Struthio camelus: one gene and its partner. The protein of the gene in region 1 interacts with the protein of each later gene in a pairwise test. Links are inferred from orthologs where the notes say so. Each region holds a gene or a part of one and is shown on either strand. Other genes may lie near its edges.

Region 1 (5,366 bases):
TGCCGCTGGATGTGCAGTGCTGCAGGTCGCGCAGTGCGGCTGGTTGCACAGTGCTGCTGGTTGCGCAGTGCTGCTGGTTGCGCAGTGCTGCTGGATGTGCAGTGCTGCAGGTCGCGCAGTGTTGCTGGATTTGCAACGCAGCTGGTTGCACAGTGCTGCTGGTTGTGTCGTGCTGCTGGATGTGCAGTGCTGCAGGTTGCGCAGTGCGGCTGGATGTGCAGCGCAGCTGGTTGTGCAGTGCTGCTGGATGTGCAGTGCTGCAGGTCGCGCAGTGCTGCTGGATGTGCAGTGCTGCTGGTTGTGCAGTGCTGCTGGTTGTGCAGTGCTGCAGGTCGCGCAGTGCTGCTGGATGTGCAGTGCTGCTGGTTGTGCAGTGCTGCTGGATGTGCAGTGCTGCAGGTCGCGCAGTGCTGCTGGATGTGCAGTGCTGCTGGTTGTGCAGTGCAGCTGGTTGTGCAGTGCTGCTGGTTGTGCAGTGCTGCTGGTTGTGCAGTGCTGCTGGATGTGCGGTGCTGCTGGATGTGCGGTGCTGCTGGATGTGCAGCGCAGCTGGTTGTGCAGTGCTGCTGGTTGTGCAGTGCTGCTGGATGTGCAGTGCTGCAGGTCGCGCGGTGCTGCTGGATGTGCGGTGCTGCTGGATGTGCAGCGCAGCTGGTTGTGCAGTGCTGCTGGATGTGCAGTACTGCAGGTCGCGCGGTGCTGCTGGATGTGCAGCGCAGCTGGTTGCGCGGTGTCACCGGTTGTGCTGTGCCGCTGGTCACACAGTGCTGCTGGTTGTGCAGTGCTGTTGACAGAGCGCTGCTGCTCGCCGCGCGTCCCCGCACGGGAGGATTTCCTAGCCCGGTGGCACCCTTGCTGAGCTGGCGCGCGTGCGCTTCAGGCAATGCCCGGCCCGGCAGCACCGAGCGCAGCGGGCGCAGCGGTGAGACGCTCCGCCGGGCCCCCCAGGAGGGACGCGCGGAGCTGCTGCCCGCCCCGCGGGAGGGGGACGCGCCGGCAGCCCCGCTGCGGCAGTGACCGCGTGGGCGCCCACCCCAGCGGGGTCCCGCGCCGGCCGCCGCGGGCGCCGGTGCCCCTTCGGCACGGCGGGCCACGCTGGTCCCTGCGCTCCCTGCTGCCAGGGGGCCTGCGCCCCCGCGGCCCCCCGGCTGCGAGGGGACGGCGGGGCCCGTCGCGGCGGCAGGACGGAGCGCGGGCCCGCGGGCGACACGGGCCCTGCTGAGCAGGGGCGTGGGCGTGGGCCGGGGTGCGGGTGTGACGGTGTGGTGTGCGGGGGGGGTCTGCGGGGGCGGTGTCACGTGCGCGGCGTCTGCCCCTGCGGCGCGGCCCGCAGGCAGCGCGTGCGCGGTGTGCGCGCTGTGGGCGGGGCGCGCGCTCAGGCGGCGTGCGCAGTGCGTGTGCGCCGTGGGCGCAGCGTGCGTAGGCAGCGTGCGTCCCCGCGGGGCGGGGCGGGGCGGGAGGGCGCCGCCGCCGCGCCGGCAGGGGGCGCTGTGGCGGCGGGGGCGGGGCCGGGCCGGGCCGGGCCGTGGCGGCGGGGCCGGAAGGGCCGCGGGGAGCCGGTGCCGGCGGTGCTGGTGCCGGTGCTGGTGCCGCCGCCATGTACCGGGCCCTGTACAGCTTCCGCTCGGCCGAGCCCAACTCGCTGCCCTTCGCCGCCGGCGAGACCTTCCTGCTGCTGGAGCGCAGCAACCAGCACTGGTGGCTCGTCACCCGCGCCGGCTCCGGCGAGACCGGCTACGCGCCGGCCTCCTACCTGCAGCGCCTGCAGGTGCGCGGGGGGGGTGAGCGGGGTGTGGGGCGGGGAGCAGGGAGGCGGGGGGTGTGGGGTGTCGGGGCGGGGGGGTAAGGGGTTGTGGGGCAGGGGGGTGGGGGGCGGGGGGGTGAGGAGTGTGGGGCAGACGTGGGGGCGGTGGGTGTCGGGGCGGGGGACGCGGGGCAGACGTGGGGGTGGTGGGTGTCGAGGTGGGGGGACGCGGGGCAGACGTGGGGGTGGTGGGCGTCGGGGCAGGGGACACGGGGCAGACGTGGGGGTGGTGGGCGTCCAGCGGGGGACGTGGGGCAGACGGGGGGTGTTGAGGGGGTGTGGGGCAGACAGGGGTGCTGGAGGCAGGGGGTGCTGGGGAGGAAGTGCTTGGGTGTGGGTGGGGGGGCACAGCGTGGCCAGGGTGCCAGTGTGCTCGCCGCAGTCTGGGGCGGGATGTGGGGTGGCTCTGATGCCACGGTGGGGTGCCGGGTGCCAGAGGTGTGGGCTGGGGAGCGGGAGAGCAGGCGCTGGGCACAGGGGAGCGCGGGAGGGTACGGCGAGGTGGGGACCGAGGGGCGACTGCACTCAGTGGAGAGGTGCCGGCTGGGCTGAGACCGGGCGCAAGCTGGGTATGTGCTGAGAGTGTGAAATGTTGGGGGAGAAAGGGGAGGATGATGAGTCCTGAGACGTGGCTGTCCGGGCAAGTTGAGCCGGGCAGGCACTTGGGGGGCTGCAGGTTATGGTGCAGGTGGTGGGGAGGGTGGGCTGGTTGGGGCTGGGCTCACAGAGGGGTTGCCCCCTAACTAGGGAAGCAGCTCTGCTGTCTGTCACATGTATGGCATGTGGATTTGGGATCCTGGCTCTGGACCCCTTTGGTACTTCTGTCGCTTAACGCAAAAGGGAATGGCCTGTCTGATGCAGAGAGCGGGACGTTCCCATCAAAGACCACCTGTAAGCTGAGTTTATGTATGTGCAAGGGTGGCTATTGGAGGGCAGCAGCTTGGGGTAGCCCGATGCATGAACTGTTCATGTCTGTTCAGCGGTCCCGTTGTCATGAGGGTTGGGGGTCGCTGATGTTAGCTACAAAAAGCAGATGTAATTCTCCATACTGACGGGACTTCAGCCTGGAAGAACTTCTGGGACATCATGCCCCTGCAGGGGTGAGAATCGGGAGTTTCAAGGAAGTCTGAAGGGCTGGTACCCTGGAGAAACAGTCTTCCTGTTGTTGACATGATGTTTAGAGATCAAGGTCCAGGGAGCACTAAGTGCAGGTCAGGGGCAAAACAGAAAGTTCAGCAGCTTCGACCTGAGGAGATGGGCTAGGTAAGCGTCACTTGGGTCTTGACTTATAGGTCAGGAGCCAAGGGATTAGAGGATTGACTTCACTCTTGCAGAAATGTGAGGAGAAGACAGAAAACGTTTATAGGTCATTCTCTAGGGAGACGGTAAGGGTGATCCCCCTCCAGAGGATACGCGTAAGTGACTAGACAGGCCTAAAATCTGGCAATTAGCAGCCCAAGTTGATCAAGTATGGGCTTTATTTACAGCTGTGTAGGCAGCTCCATGCTAGTTTGCTTGGTCATAGGTAGCTTTCTAATCGTGCAGTACCACAGCTGGCATGAGAGCACCGAGGGAGGTGTTCATTGCGCTCCTTCCACCAACAGGCCGTGACACTGATAGCAGACGAATCTGTCCTGGGGACTGGGAGAAGCCACAGCAAACGCCTGTGACTGCGGTGACAGTAATTACAGCCAAGTCAGTGATACTGGTAACTACAGAGAGTCAGAGGCGGCTCCAGCATCCTCGCAGGAGTCGGAGCAAGGAGGGCAGGTTCGGTGGTCAGAGCTGTGTGTGCGAGCCTCGCGCTGGTGTTGGAGAAGGTGAAGCTAGTTAGCTCGTGCAGTGCAGGCTTTCGTCTAATGGAGGCTTCCGAGGGAAATCACGGCTTCTGGAATTAAAACCTACTTTTGATATAAGGTAGTTCATGCTTTTTTAATACTTCAGGCCCTCAGGGGATGGATGTGGTAACTGCATGCAGACTGCTCCTTGTATCAGTGAACGAGTAACTGCACACGAATGCACAGGAACGTTATGAATGTGTTGAGTCTGGTTGAAAGCGGCAACAAACCCCTTCCTTTCAGTGAACTGATGATCCTCCTTCAGGTGCCGCTGAACTTCTGATCAGGCAGTAATGCAGTTTGTAAATGACTGTAGGTGTGTTCTTTGCAGAACACGTCAGTGCCTTGTGAGACAAGCGTTACCCCTAACACACACGTGCCCTCGCCGGGTAGCAGACTGTCTCTCTGCTGGCTGCCTGTTTTGGAAGCTGGGCCTTTCTGCTGGACTAGGACCTCTCCTGCAGCTTGGCAGAATGGGCTGACAGGAGGGGGACATCTTGTGAATAAATAAGCCCTTAAGCTATTTACAGGGCTATTTAAGTACAGAGCAAAGGCCTCTTTAAAACACTAGATTTTAAAACCCTGTGGTGGCATCGCTCCAGGCTGCTGCTCAAGAGTTTCCTCTCTGCAGTCCCTTGCTTCATTGGCCTGTGTGCCCTGACGCCTCCTCTCGCTGCTCTGGGTGCTGGAGTCTTCTCCGTTGCAGCAGCTGCCTCCTGGTGCAGTCTGCCAGTATCTCTCTACCTCATTTATAATAGTTTCAAAATCTGACAGAAAGGCATTTTCCTGCTGATTTTGCATTCTTTTCTGATGTTATGTTTTGCTGTAGCTGTAAAGCACTCAGAGGTAGCTTGCAGTCTCCTATATACCTTCACAGTGACTACTGGCAGTGCATTAGTAATTCACTAATAGTGTTACTGGTGACTTTGTGTATGTTCTCCTCTAGTTCAGATGTGACTTTCTCAAATGCTCTTAAACCTGGTACCAGGAAATAACAGTCTGTCTTGTCTCCTGTCGTCTTTTTTTTTTTAAATGGAAAAGTTTTTGGAGCTAGAACTTGCCTGATGAGGCATGAGACAGCAGGATCTAATTTGCTGCTCTGCAGTTATAATAATGCTCAGTGTATGTGACTTTCTTCCCACTGTTGCATCCTGCTGGCTCTGAAGAGCTGATCTGAAGTCAGAATTTGTTGTCATCCATGGAAAGCAGGCCTGGCTTGGGAGAAAGCATCTTCTGGCTGAATGCTCACTTGCAACTGCTTACCGAGCGTTCAGGATGAGAGCGCAAACAATTTGCCACCCTGTCTCAGTTTAATAAGGGTGCTGATACTAATTACTGACAGTGGTTTGGGAAGCAATTAATGTTGCCCCAATCAGAACAAGAATAACATAGCTAATGATTAGTGTTAGTGTGCTTAGCAGGGAGAGAGAGAGTGGCCAACAGGAGTCACCATTGTAAAAGTAAGCCTTTAGATTCCTTAGTAGTGTAGTCAGGTTTCAGGTAAAGGATAAGGCTGTAGGTCGCACAACAGTCACAGCAAATCTCTTCTGCCCACAGTGCATCCTGGTGCAGTTTGAAAGCTCATCACAGCAGGCCACTAAGACAATGCTCGAGGGAGACTTATTGGGCTACTTTTTGCTGGTGCCTTCCACTATTGGGAGCATTAGCTTTCTTCAGAGCTCCTCTCATGTTTCAGTTTTTTTGCTCAGCTTTCATAGATGTGG
Region 2 (5,366 bases), on another chromosome or scaffold:
CCTATGGGAGCCATAATCACAAACATGTGCACATATTAGAATTAGCAATGACATATATTTATATGGTACCCTTATAAAGTTCTTCTCCTAATATACCTTAAGGATCCACTCAAGTAGTAGATCGGTGTTAAGTTAATGTTTTAGGGAGCCAATAAATTAATTAAAAAAAATTAGTTATTAGTTTTGCATCATTCCTAAATTCATGCTGTGGGGTTTTTAACACAGCAGCAGTATACATACTGTTAGAGGAAGGCCCAGTTACAGTGCCTGACGCACTTAAGACACCTATTTTAAATCATATTAGTGAAATAATACACCAGAGGTGTTACACATAAAGTGCCTCAGGACACACAATCCAAAAGACACATTCACATTATATCACACTATATATACTACACCATAAGCAGCATGCAGGCAGGTTCTACACATGCATTTGTGGCTTCCTGCTAGGGGCCATGCAATGTGGCATATTAAAAGTCCATTTGAATTTGTTCCTTCTCAGCAGTTGCACTGAATTCCTGGCACTGAGGTGCTCATAAGGGAAAATACGTGCATGAGGACCTGGTCATTCAACTTTCAGCACCTGAGTTTGCTCACCTGTAAGCATGTTCCTGATCCGTAGGTAGAGGTGGTATAAGGCTTTGGTGTTTATTATGAGTGAGAGGCATTACTGTGGAAAGGGTGTGTGACTAAAGCATGAGAGTTATGCTTTACAGTCTTCCAAATTTCAGCTACTTCTTAACACCCTGGAGTTCTGCCTCTCAAACTCAAGCTAGTCAGGAACTGCAGTATGTCCTCCACGTCATCTCCTGAGTGCATTCTGGAGTGTGCTTGCTTGGACACATTTTCTGGACTTTGGTACTGCAAGGGATTATATGCCACAGCTGTCCATGATTGTACAGGACTGGAAGTAAGAGATCTATGCTACATTAGTTCTACATTAGTTCTTCAAAGTTTTCTTTCTACTGAAATGCTTCCAGCACATTTTGAAGGTTGCTACTATCCATATTCCTATATTTGGAGTTATAATAGTGTTTTGCCACAGAAACAAGTTATAGTAACTAGATACTGCTGAAACTGCTCTGCAGTAGCTGCAGCGGACACGGACTTGTTCCCCTATGCAACAGAGAGGTACCTGAAGAAAGCTGAGTCCTCTATGAATGACAGGATAGCTCCCTCAGCAGGGGCACTGGGAGATAAAAGCTTGCACGCAGGCCCTTGGCACACACTGACTTATGTATGTGTCAAAGCCTCTGGCTTGTGAAGTACATCAGTTCCCTTGGAAAAAAACAGCACAAACAACATCTTTGCAAAATCACTGAGAATTCTTCCATCCTCCTGTTTGCAAGAAACAAAAAACCAAACGTAATCTCATTACCCTAGTGATCAGAAGCCTCTTTTGAGTCCATCTATGGAAATGACAATACAGCATGCTTTCTGATCATATTTGCAGTCCTAAAATGTAAATACACAGATTATATATTTACTGAAAATGTCTGTATGCAAGCAATAGTATCAACTAATCTGCACAGACAGTCATAGACTTTTGCCTGTTCCCCTGCATCACTTCAAACGCTCACAAGACTGGCCAAACCGAGGATAATAAAATTTGATTATAAACCAGTGAGTAATCTCTTTCTTTACTGCCAGATGTGCCTAATTCCTATTGTCATCTTTGTGAGTGCCTTGGTTGTGCAAGCAGCCAAAAGGAATCTTGCATGCTGCACTTTGCTTTCTCTTATTTTAGGAGTTCTGTTTTGGTCAATGTATGCTGGGCACAGAGCTTGGTGACCTGGTGGGAAAGTCCCTCAAGCACACTGTCGCAGTCTCACAATGAGCACGGTACCTCCAGCACCATGACCACGTACCAGGACGGGAGCAAGGGTCGCAGCAAAGGGAGCGTGCAGCCTGCACAGCCCTGGGCACAGCTCAGCACATTTGAGAAAGTGGCGTTGGCCATATAGTGGAGGCTCCACTCACTTCTGGGACCTCAGCACAGGGATGGTCTTCCTGCTGGGCAAATAGCAATTCTGCAACTCCAGGGAAGTGCTCCTTGTGGGGGAGGTAGGGTACTGACCTATTGGATCCTTTGGGGATCTGAGGTTAAACAAATAACCCTTTTAGTTGTCATTTCCCATTATCAAGGAAGAGCGTAGCAATATCCCGGTAGTGCTGAATGTGTATGGTGAATAGTGGATGCTATTGATGCTGTGAGACTTCTTTTCTTTTAAAGAGCCTGTTTTACACAGGGAATACCTTAGCTCTCTTCCTTGGAGTATAGCATCTAAAAAAAGATCCCGAACCCCACGTCAGAACTCTACCCACACAGACAGATTATTGCAACGCACTCTACAGAAACCTCGTTATAACTCAGAATAACGTAGATTCTTCCTACGTTAGACTTTAAACGACGGGCAACACGAACCACCTCTGTGAAGCAGCTGTTTAGTTCACACAGTAGTTCCCAAGGCACTGCCCAGCTGTAAGCTCTTAGTGACAAGGACCTCCCCATTTTTACATGTTTGCACAGCACATAGCATCACTAGGAATATGGTCCATGGGATGGGCTGTCAGATGCTAGCATGATACTGATAAGAAAAGTACGTTATCCAGGTAAGCTGCAAAGAGCATTCATTCTGAAAGGTTAATTTTCTTCGGTTACCTTTCTCTTTTTTCCAAGTAACATACCGGCTGGCAGAAAAACTTTTCATATGCAAGTCAATTAAAAATTTAGAAGCCACACCATTTGAGCTGGATGTTGGCTTTCAGCAAGGAGAATTGAACCACATTTAATAATTAATGAGTAAATAAGAGGCTAGGAAAAAAAAAATCCTTTTTGAGTGGCGTACATACAGATTCTTCTGCCAAAATTATCACTCATATCCCGTTTCAACTGCTGGCTTGCTAAACAGCAAAAGTTCACTGACGGGTCTGCTGGAGGGGGTGAGGCAGGTGAAACACCCCAGCCCTCCAGACAAAATTCTCTTCTCTGAGCCTGTGAGAAAACCAGTCTTTCCAACTATGAACAGATGCTTCTAAGGGATGCATGCCTAGTGTGAAAATAGCTAAAAATATCAACCGAAAGCAATCCCCTCCCTGACTCTCCCTCCCCCCCCATAATACTGAGGGGAAAACACAAACAAAAATCCCCAAACCCCAACAACTCAAAAGCCAGGTCTTTTCCCCGTTCAGAGCCCCGAGCCGCCCAGGTGACCTGCAAGCGTTCAGAAGTATGACTGTCGGATTGGAGATGGCTTATAGCAGGCTATTTCACACCCTGCCACAGGGCTCCAAATAGCAATCAAAGCAACACATCTCTTTATAAAGCAAAGAAAGGAGGAGGGGGGGAAGGAAAAAAAAAAAGAAAAAAATCTTGTTCTCTCAATACCTTTGATTCCTGGCTGGTGGTCGATGCCGGAGAGGGGGGCTGCTCTGTGCTCTCCACTTCGTGCTCCTTCTCCACCGTGTCCACGCTGACTTCAGTCGCGCTGCTCGGGGGAATCATTTTACCTCTGAAACACTGCTCCTACCGGGAAAGGAGCCACAGACCTTTCTCCCTCTTCTCGGTTTAACGTCCTCTCTCCTCTCTGCTCTTCTAGAGCGAATGAACCCCGATCATGCTGTTTCACTATATTTGCCAGCCTGGAATTCTCTGGATTTTCTTTTTTTTTTCCCTTCTCCTCCTCCTCCTCCCCCTCTCCTCTTCCTCTCCCTCCTCCCTCTCCCCTCCTCCCCGATGTAATTCTGCTGCAAGGGGAGCAAGTCGCCGCTGGCGCCGTAGGTCAGTCCTGTGCCTGCCTCTGCGTTTTCCCGGTCCTCCTTTCCTCCGCGCGAAGCCCGCAGGCCCCGAGCGGAGTCGTGCCGGGCAGCCCCGCGGTCAGGCGGGAGTGAGCCGAGGCAGCACGCCCGAGCCGCTCGCCCGCACGGGGCACCGGAGGGAGGAGTTGTGTTGCTAAAGCCTTGACTAGCTTTGCAGGAGCGTGTGCTGTCATAGTAGTGTAAGAAAGTGCTGCGCGCGTGCACACACACACACACACACACACACGCGTGCAGGCGCAGAGGCACGCAGCGTGCATGAGGTTTGCAAGCGTTTTTACCTTTCACTCAGGCGGAGGGCATCAGAGTTTGAAGTGCAGCTTTATATTCTCACAAGTCTGATGTGTTCCCAAAAGAGCTCTACAAACAGAGGAGGAATAGGAGCGTTCCCTCACTTTCTCCCACAAAGAGTTTATTAAAAACCATAGCCACCCCATGTTTCTAAAGGCCAAACACCTCCCCCCCGCCACCAAAACCCTGGCAAAGTGTGACGCCGCTTCACGTGCTCGTCCTTCCCCAAAGCACACTGAAGTGCGGGCAGGGGAGTGCTGCTCGGAGTGGGGCGCGCACACCCGACCAGGGTCCCCCCCGGAGCTGCACTAATCCCTATACCTGCAGCTTGCCATAGCGATGGCGCTCCATCAGGATCGCCCTCCGTCAGGATCGCCCTCCGTCAGGCAGCGCTGGAGCCGAGGTGGCCGGGGAGGAGGGCCTGCTGGCTCCCCCGAGGGCCGTGGCTGGCCAGGATGTGGCACCCGGCAGTCACGCTTGGGGCCACGGGCTGACTGGTGGAAGGTCACCACAACTTTGCATGTTGGCTTGGCTCCTGCCCGAGTTTTCCACTGATTTAAATCCACGGCAAAGGCGCACGTCACCTCTCTTCCCTACCTGACTTTAGGTGCGGTGTGCAAATGGTTAAGTGGACGCGCTCCTCACCAGATGCATGCTCTGCAGAGCAGGAGCTGCTCCATGCAGCTGGAGGAGATGCCTCCTGGCCTTTCGTTTAAAGGAAAAATAAAAAAGCGACCCAAACACGGGTTTCCAATAAGTTGCACTTCTGTTCTCAAAGGTGCACAGAAAAAAAATTCTTGCTTTGTACATCTAGACTGCTGTATATTTGGAGGTGATTTGCTGAGGTTTGAGCCAGAGAGATTTGGTAGCTCTGGGTACCAGGCTCTCTTCTTGCCCCATCCCTTAGAAACACGGTTGCTGCCTGTGGCTGCCTCGCAGGCCCCCTCTGCCCCAAACAACCCACGGGTGAAAGGAAAGGTAGGATTTCAAGACAGTATGGGTTATACGGATGAAAGTCAGAGCAGAAATTGTCCTGCAGCCTCTATACTCTTTGTAGCTATGCAGAGGCCTGGAAAACACAGCTTTTCTTTGAATCCCCAGTGAATTTCCAGGAGTAGCAGTTAAATGGGGAAAAAAAGCTTTTTTTCTCCAAGACAGAGCATATAAGATACTGAAGTCTTTACCAGACGATAAACACGAAATGCCGTGATGCTATTTGTACAGCCACTTCAGAGCAAGAGTGCATCTTAGGTGTCTGC

What was found. The genes of interacting proteins can lie anywhere in the genome.
Region 2: the proteins of NCKIPSD (region 1) and STAC interact in binary tests that used the Homo sapiens proteins (3 or more experiments, as listed by UniProt). The link is inferred for Struthio camelus from reciprocal best matches to the Homo sapiens genes NCKIPSD and STAC.

What each region holds. Positions count from the first base shown.
Region 1 is NC_090955.1:14,967,427-14,972,792, reverse strand, and holds the start of NCKIPSD (NCK-interacting protein with SH3 domain), read left to right. Parts: upstream 1-1,510; 5' UTR 1,511-1,597; coding exon 1,598-1,768; intron 1,769-5,366. UniProt on the Homo sapiens protein: Has an important role in stress fiber formation induced by active diaphanous protein homolog 1 (DRF1). Induces microspike formation, in vivo. In vitro, stimulates N-WASP-induced ARP2/3 complex activation in the absence of CDC42.
Region 2 is NC_090943.1:53,932,221-53,937,586, reverse strand, and holds the start of STAC (SH3 and cysteine-rich domain-containing protein), read right to left. Parts: upstream 4,011-5,366; 5' UTR 3,506-4,010; coding exon 3,389-3,505; intron 1-3,388. UniProt on the Homo sapiens protein: Promotes expression of the ion channel CACNA1H at the cell membrane, and thereby contributes to the regulation of channel activity.